Linked DNA regions of Arabidopsis thaliana. The protein of the gene in region 1 interacts with the protein of each later gene in a pairwise test. Each region holds a gene or a part of one and is shown on either strand. Other genes may lie near its edges.

The links. The genes of interacting proteins can lie anywhere in the genome.
Region 2: the proteins of FBH4 (region 1) and AT4G10600 interact in a two-hybrid assay, tested with the Arabidopsis thaliana proteins (one large-scale study listed by BioGRID).

The regions. Positions count from the first base shown.
Region 1 is NC_003071.7:17,610,967-17,615,165, forward strand, and holds FBH4 (basic helix-loop-helix (bHLH) DNA-binding superfamily protein), read right to left. Parts: upstream 2,626-4,199; 5' UTR 2,198-2,625; coding exon 1,750-2,197; intron 1,486-1,749; coding exon 1,229-1,485; intron 1,123-1,228; coding exon 943-1,122; coding exon of another isoform or gene 925-942; exon of another isoform or gene 830-924; coding exon 764-829; intron 680-763; coding exon 548-679; downstream 1-547.
Region 2 is NC_003075.7:6,546,733-6,550,847, reverse strand, and holds AT4G10600 (RING/FYVE/PHD zinc finger superfamily protein), read left to right. Parts: upstream 1-1,969; 5' UTR 1,970-2,200; coding exon 2,201-2,914; 3' UTR 2,915-3,007; exon of another isoform or gene 3,008-3,179; intron 3,180-3,282; 3' UTR 3,283-3,613; downstream 3,614-4,115.

The DNA of each region.
Region 1 (4,199 bases):
ATCGTAGCTGGAGTTTGCAGTACCAACTGAACCAGGAGAGAAGTCGTATACACTCTACTTCATGTGTGATTCTTACTTTGGTTGTGACCAGGAGTAGTCTTACTGGTGATATCAAAGATTCTGACGCTGCAGATCACATGGAAGAATAATTTATGTTTTCTGCTTAGTTTTCGAGTCTTTCTTTGTTCTTCTGGTCATAATTTTCGCATTTAGCTACCGTAGTTGATCTTACCTTTTGTAGTACAACATTTGATTAGTAGATTCTGCATTGTAATAATGAAATAAGAACAAATCGAGTACTATTTTATTACTTAGAATTTTGTTGGAAGCAGATGCTTTTCTCGAGAGCTTACATAGACAATTTGGTCTGTTTCGGCTAAAAAATATTCAGACATGACATTGTTTCTTTCTTGTCCTTCTCCCTGCTTTTTAGTCCTATCTACTACACACTTTGTTGCGCCCTATATTGACTTCTTCTCCTTGTTCATACACTTACAGTTAGCTCTGTTGTCGTTTAAAATCTGTGTAAAACCAACAGAAGACTAAATCAATTCAACAGAAGACTAAACAGGCCCCTTTGTTTTTTTTCCACAATGATCAGGAACTTTACCTTATACTGTCTTTGTAAATCTTTGATGTAATCCACAGCTAAATCCAACATATCCGAAGTGTTGGTTTGCTGTTAAAACATAAAGAAAACAACATCATTTAACAATTTGTTTATGATCAAAAGTCATTACAAGGAAGTTCCTGAAAACTGTACCTTGTCCATGTTAGGAACAAGCTCTTGTAACTTCCTCATTCGCTCGCTTATCCGCGTTCTTCTTACCTGACACAATTGACAAGATTTCTTAGGAAAGGCTTTCTGAAAACAAACTAGATTCTGCTTCAAATGGACTTCCATTGATATATGTAAAGATGGCCTTAACTAGGTGAAGTTACCCGTTCAGCGATGCTTCGAGGATGTGTAGCGCAACCACGTTTGGCTCTGATTTTACAAGGAACAGAATCTTGTAGCTGAAGATACTTATCCACTGAAACCATGTCCGAGGCTGTCGATGATGACTTTGGTAGGCTCAAATGATGCGACAGTAACTGCATACGATTCCCGGACTCTCCGTTCTGTAGAAACCCATCAAAAACATCATTAGAAACCACTCCAAGAAATCAACTCCACTTTCAGCTACTGATCAATAACCAAAACAAACCGGTTAGATAACCGAGTTACCTGAGCTCCGAGAAACAATTTTCCATCGTCCTCGGCTTCTCTTTTAAGTGAGGATAAGTTATCAATAAAGCTGGATGGATCATTCCAATGGCTATATGGAAAATTAGTTTCGGGTGCGATTTCAGGTATTTGAGAAAGCATTCCAAGTGAAGAAGGTGGCCTTGAAGAGAGACTGCAATGGCGTCTTAATCCATTGGAATTAGATGGACTCTCTTCATCTTCTTCGTAATTCATCAAATTCCTCATTGAACCATAACCTGCAAATTTGTAAGTATATAGTAAACACTTATTAGATTTGTTGAGTCCAAAGTGCTTTAACTCTATGGTTGACAAAATCAAATCAGATCTTGTCTTAAAATTATTCTCAAGGAACGTAAAACATTCAAAAATCTTGAAGCAAGTGTTAAAACATTCAAAAAAGTTGAATCAAGAAGTACCAAAAACACTTCTGTTATAAATGAAAAAAATATTTCAGACTAAAAAAAGGGGGAAAAACTTTGTAGCAGAGAGCAAAACGGTACCGTTTTGGTCAGAGAGATTAGTAAACATTCCGGCTGGAGAGCTGCTTTGACGGAGAAGATTAGATTCAACTGGTTTGGTGTGATGATTATTGATACCGAGAAACTGATCCAAACCAACCGAGTTCATTATCCCTTTACTCTGCCTCGGGTAATGCGGCGGCAAACCCAGAAAACTCGACGGCTCAAGCTGCGGCGGTGGCGGCAGAGTGGCGGCGTATGAAACAGAGGTGTTCGTTAACGAAACCGGAGACTTATCCTCGAATTTAGGTGAACCCAGATCTCCGTTAACGCCATTAGAGGTCACGAATCTTGAAAGCAACCTATCGGAGTCGAAACCAATCTTGTCGTCGTCAACAAAAGCGGCGAGAACAGAGCTCGGAGCTGATCTAAAACGAAGAAGACCCGACCCGGTGGGATTCGGGTCGTAGAGATGATTATTTGAATCCATTAATCGAATCAATATGTAAAAAAAATGCAACGAAATTTCCTCTGTTTTCTCTTCTTGTAAGCTCTGTCTCGTGACGTTTCAGGAAGAACAAATTTGTAGAAAACCAAATCTTAATAGCTTTCCAACGTCAACCGTTGATATGAATATAAGCTTTTTCTTCTCCCTTGTTAAGTTCTTGTTTGTGTCACTTTTCCCGGGAAAACAAAACTTGAGCTTGAGATGTGAGCAGGTGTAGGATTTGGGAAATATAAAACCTTGAAGGGGAAGTAAAGGAGGTTTCGTCTGAAGATGAAGAAGAGAGAAAGAAGAACGGTGAAGTCTGATGAGAGGAAGAGAGAGATGAAGGTGATGATGAATATTTATCGTCTTTTTGCTTCTGAGTTTCTGCGTCCAACTTTAATTGCTGAAGATAGCGGCGGATCCAAAAGCTTTTTTACCAAAAATTTATTAAAATTGAAAAAGACGTCGTTTTAAGCCGCCTGTGAGGCTGAGTCACGGAAAATGCCTTTTCATATTTTTTTTCAAGAACAATTTTACTACTATTTCTTAAGAATATGAATTTTTCTATATAAAATGTAATTGAGAAAAGAGTAGATTTTAGATGAAAATACATACTTTATACTTGTATACAGGAAGAGCATGTGAAGTAAATTACCTACCTAATCAATTTTGACGAGTATACTGATGGACCCGTGACAAATTATTATTTCTCATCTTATAATCTACATGTATCCATAATATCATTTTATTACGATTCTTGTTTTTTTCTTTGTCTCTGTAAAATATGTGATGTTTCTACCCTAATTTATAACACACGAACAAAAATATCTGTATGTTGGGGACAATGAAATCGCTGGTAGGCCATACGATTACAATTTACAACAAGATGCACCAATCATAAATATTAGTTTCTTTTTTTTTATTGGGTCGGTAGTTTAACAACCAATGTAACAATTTAACACTAGATTCGAAATTTAACGACGTAAGGAAATAATTTTAATACGTTTTAGGGGACATGGATCTAATATGTCATGGTTACGTTACTTCAAATTTGTTTTGTTTAAGTACTCATTATTCAGGAACCAATAATGATGTTAGAGTACTTCATTCATAGTCAGCAATTGTACTGACAAAATCTAATATCCATTCGCATGGTACAACTTAGAATTTAAGAATTAAAGATTGTCCCATCAGAGTATAAAAGTCAGAAGTTAGATGTTAATATAGTTAGACACGAAAACGTACTTGAAATAGAAAGAAAGAAAATTGTCGGAAGTACAGTTTGTTTGTAATAAAAGAGAGATCAAAACTGTTTGAACTTTTTAACCAATATTTACGTACGTACGTAGCTTTCCAAATCCGATTTTAAGGTTCACGGAACCTATACAGTGTACAGCTTACGACACGATCGTGACGGAGGACGTTGACGCCGTTATCACCCATTGGGAACGTAAGTTGGCGACTACTATAATCTGTGTGACATACGGTACACCTGCATGAAAAAGTAAGATTTGAAACTAAACTCTAAAACCTTAGTGGTCGATGGATTATACAGTGACGTGACTCTATGTGAACGATATACACCAGATTACGTCTCCTCTAAATCTCTTTAAATCTTATCTTAGTTTAAACTTTAATAATTCACGAGCGCCGTCTTTTTAAAATCTAAATCCAATAAAGCGACTTGTTCTCTATGGAGTTTTTAGCTATTCAGCCCTTTAATGGAAATTGATTAATTTTTATATTTTCAAAAACCTATTCGTATCGTATCAGTCTGAATTTTTAGCTTTTAGTACAATGTAAGAATTGAAAAAAGAAACCGAACCATTGAGAAGATTGGGGTGGTGAATTTGCTTTGAATGTGAATTTATTCTCTATGGAGTTATTAGCTGTTTCATTCCCTTTTTTATATGGGGACTACGGTTTATGTGCCTGAGGCTCTATATATATTGCATATAGATTGATGACATTGACATAGGCTAAGCTACATAGTCTTAAAACT
Region 2 (4,115 bases), on another chromosome or scaffold:
AACTCCTTAAATTACTCGTTGATTATCTAAGATAATAAAAGCATAAGACTCGCTCTACATTTACAAAATAGTTTTCCAATATATATAACTTATAAAATTTATATATTTGTCCATATATTAAAATACAATTTTTAGTGCTTTTTGTGGCGAATCCTTATTTACTCTCAACCATTTTTATTTTTTCCTTTCTAATTCTACCATTGCTCTTGCCAAACGCTTTCATTCTTTTATCTTTATAATTATTAATTATAATATCCTTATAATATTGTAAAAAATTTAATAAGCTATGATATATATATATAGTAAAAATAAAATAACTGGTTTGGTTTCAGTTTGGTCCTATCGAGTTCGGATTAAGACTTTGATAATCTATAAATACTTGAGTTGACTTATAATTATCATGATAAAGTTGAGCGGTGGTAGTTCAAAGAATTTTTAGTCTCAATCCATATAAGAAAGGATAGGAACAGAATGCATTGATCCATTAAAGGAATGTCAAAAAATTTCAATATCACTACATTTAAGGAATGTCAAACTTCTTCTAACTACTTTTTTAACTACCAAAATCTGAACAATTATCAGTTTCAAAATCAATCTCCTAACAATCCCCAATTTATGAAGGCTTATAGCAAAAATAAAGACTTGTTTTAATTAATTTGGACACAAAAACCCCATCTTTTTAAATTAAACTTTTGCTATCATCCTTCATAAACTCTTGTTTATTTTTTATCCGTCTTTTTAGTGAAATAGATCATAATAATATCATTTTAACTCCCAAAATTTTTCTAATTACCTTTTTAACTACCCAACATCAATCTCCTAACCATCAACATAATATAACAAATTATGGTTATCCACCAAATTTCTTTATATCGTCAACTGTTCCAAACTATCCTTCATATTTTAAAATATTTAATTTTTACTTATTTTAATTTTATTTGATATTAATTGTAATTAATTAATCACAAAAAACATAAACATAATTAAAATAAAAAATATAAAATAATGGTAGGGTAATGTGTTGTAATTTTATTAAACAAAACTATTGTAGTAAGTAAAAATTATGTAGGTATTGAATTATAATGTGGAGTGTTGAAAAGAGAAAAGTGGACATTGTAACCATGTAACTAATGTAGATAGTCTAACAGGTACACTAGTTGTACATGTTATTTTATCAACAATAGTTCTCTTCCTACTAATTAGAACAATTCAAGTCTAGTATCCATATATTATAATATAACATCTTACTAGTGCATGGGTTATTCAAAGATTCAATGATCATACAAAACATAAATCTACAAACTAAAATTCCCAAATAAAAATCATAAATCAAAGCCATCTCATTGAAGTTTCAGCTTTAACAAACACAAAATTAGCATAAAAACGATCAAAGAAAAAAACCTAAAAATCAAAACTTCAACTTCCAATATCTCTATTCCAATATCTTTCCTTCGATTTTTCTGTATGTCTTCCAAATTCTTTTTGTTTCCCTAATTGCTCAAGAAGTAATATCTTCGTCATTCTGTTTTTATTCAAGGTACATAGAAAGATTGATCCTAGACTACATCAAATTGGGTGTAGTCAGTGATATAGCTTCCCCGAAGTTAGCGGTTTTCGAAATCTTTTTGAAGCGGTTTCATATGATCGACCCAGAAGATTTTGGTACTACGACGTGACGAGTGGTTTTCAGAAGAACACATCTTCTACACGTGTCTTTAGGCTAAATTATACGTGCAAATATTTTTGCTAACTTCATTATGATTTAGTTATTTGACCGTTAATTTCCGCTTGTATTCCTCTTTGAGCTTGACCATTCTGTTTTTTATCTGCTTTTGGTTTTTAAATGAAATCGTTTGGTCCGTCCACAAAAAAAAAACAGTACCTATCCTCTAAGCCCGGCCCATCCCGGCCCATCCCGGCCCATCCCGGCCCATCCCGGCCCATACCGGCCCATATTTTAGTAATTATGGTTCCTATCTTCGTCTTCTTCGTTCAGAAATGGGAAGCGAGAACCATAGATTTACGTCAAGATAGCTTTTTTTCTATCAAGAATCGCAAAGCTATTTCGCGTAACATTACAATCGTCGTTCAGAAGAAACGAATTGGGTTTGACAAAGCTTCGATATTCAGGGAGATTTCTGGGTTAATTTGTGAAAGAATCAGAGAAATTTAGAGTTTTTTTTTTGGGGGTAAATTTGAGATGAAGCCACACGAAGATTGGGTTTATGAATCATGGACAGTAGATTGTGTTTGTGGTGTGAATTTTGATGATGGTAAAGAGATGGTTGATTGTGATGAATGTGGTGTTTGGGTTCATACATGGTGTTCTCGTTATGTTAAAGGTGATGATTTGTTTGTTTGCCACAAGTGTAAGATAAAAAACAATGAAGATGAATTGTCCAAGTTATCGGTTACTAAATCGTTGAGAATGGAGAATTTATGTACGCAGAGTAGTGAGAGTGTTGTATTGAAGGCTTGTTCAGAGATACCAATTGAAGAAAGGGTTCATGTACAAGGAGTTCCTGGTGGTGATTTGGGTTTGTTTGAATGTGTTTCTTCGGTTTTTAGTCGGCAGTTATGGAAGTGTAGTGGTTATGTGCCTAAGAAGTTTAGGTTTCAGTGTAGGGAGTTTCCTTGTTGGGATGAGAAGGAGAATGTGTGTGATGTTGTTGGGGATGAAGATGATAGTAATCTTGCTGGTGTTTTGTTGTCTATGTCGAAAGAAAACGGTGTGGATGGTAAGGGAGACAATGCTAGGAATTGTGGTTCTAGAGAAATTGAGAGTGATGTAGAGAAAGAGAAGAGCTTGCTTTGTGATCCTTTGAGTATATATAAGAGGAGAAACGAGTCGGTGGGTGGTTTTGAAGATGGGGTAAAGAAGAAGGTTAAAGTTGCTGATAAAGAGGAAGAATAATGATGTAAGAAGGCTTTGATTTGGATACAGAAGAGGCATTATGTGTTACACAACCAACATTTCTTATTTTAATAGATTTCTTACACAAGAATGGTAAGGTTTATAACTTTGTCACTAGTTTAGATTCTTAACCTTATATTCAGATATAACCACAATGGTTCATGGTTTCATTTGTCTTTGCAATCAACTAACAGTTGTAGGATACTTAACATCCACATAATATGCAATAAAAAGTGTAAATTCTTTCCATTGATGATAAACTCGATTGCTTGGTTTATAAGTTTGTGTAGGTCAAATTAGGAGCAAGAAAGGCTTGTTTTATCTTGATGATTAACTCAATCTTAGTCATTCATGTGAGCGGTTCGCAGTTTCAGGATTAGTAGGCGCTCAAAATCTTGAAGGCTTCGCGGACTCTCCTCGCCCTCCGTCCTTCCATAGATGAAGTTGAATTCTCTGACAATTCTCACCATGAACAATTTTAGGTGATTTCAAATAGATAAGAAAGCTCTTGTTGGAAGGCAGTGCACTAAAGGGTCCTGATATCCTACTTGTATTCCAAAAAACTCTTCTCTTGAATATGAAAGGCTGCAAAGCGTTGGTGCGACTTCCAAATTGTTTCCGGAACTTACGGAGTATATGCAGAATTTTGTGCTTTATGGAACAAGAATAAACTTGAAATGCCAAAGTTATTGCATTGCATTGAGTCTGTTTTATGCTTAAGTGCAACTGTGCAAGCTAACATCAGCCATCTGATATGGCTTTACTTCAAGAATCGCTAGAAGCTCAAATCTTAAGTGCCACATGGTTTATGTTTGATGTTTTGTGTCGCTTGGTAGGCACATATTTAGTGGCCATTGTTGTAGGATCCAAATCGCTAAGTAAAAGAAAAGTCTCAATTCTATATGAAACTCATGTAAATCCATTAAAACTCATTGGAGAAAAGCCCTTAATTATCCATATAAGCCCGTAACGAGAGAGTAAACCTAAAATTTCGTTAGACAAAAAGAAAACCCTAGCCGATTAATATCCTTATAAATAGATAGGTAGTCTCCTTAATTTTCTCCTTAGTCAAAATCTTAGAGAGAGTCCGAGGAAACCCTAGCCACCGTCGTTGCCGTAACTCGTTCGCCTGAGGATAATGATCAATTGGGTTTATGCTAGAGTTAAATCGGGTCTTGAAAAGAGAAGGAAGTTGCATGCG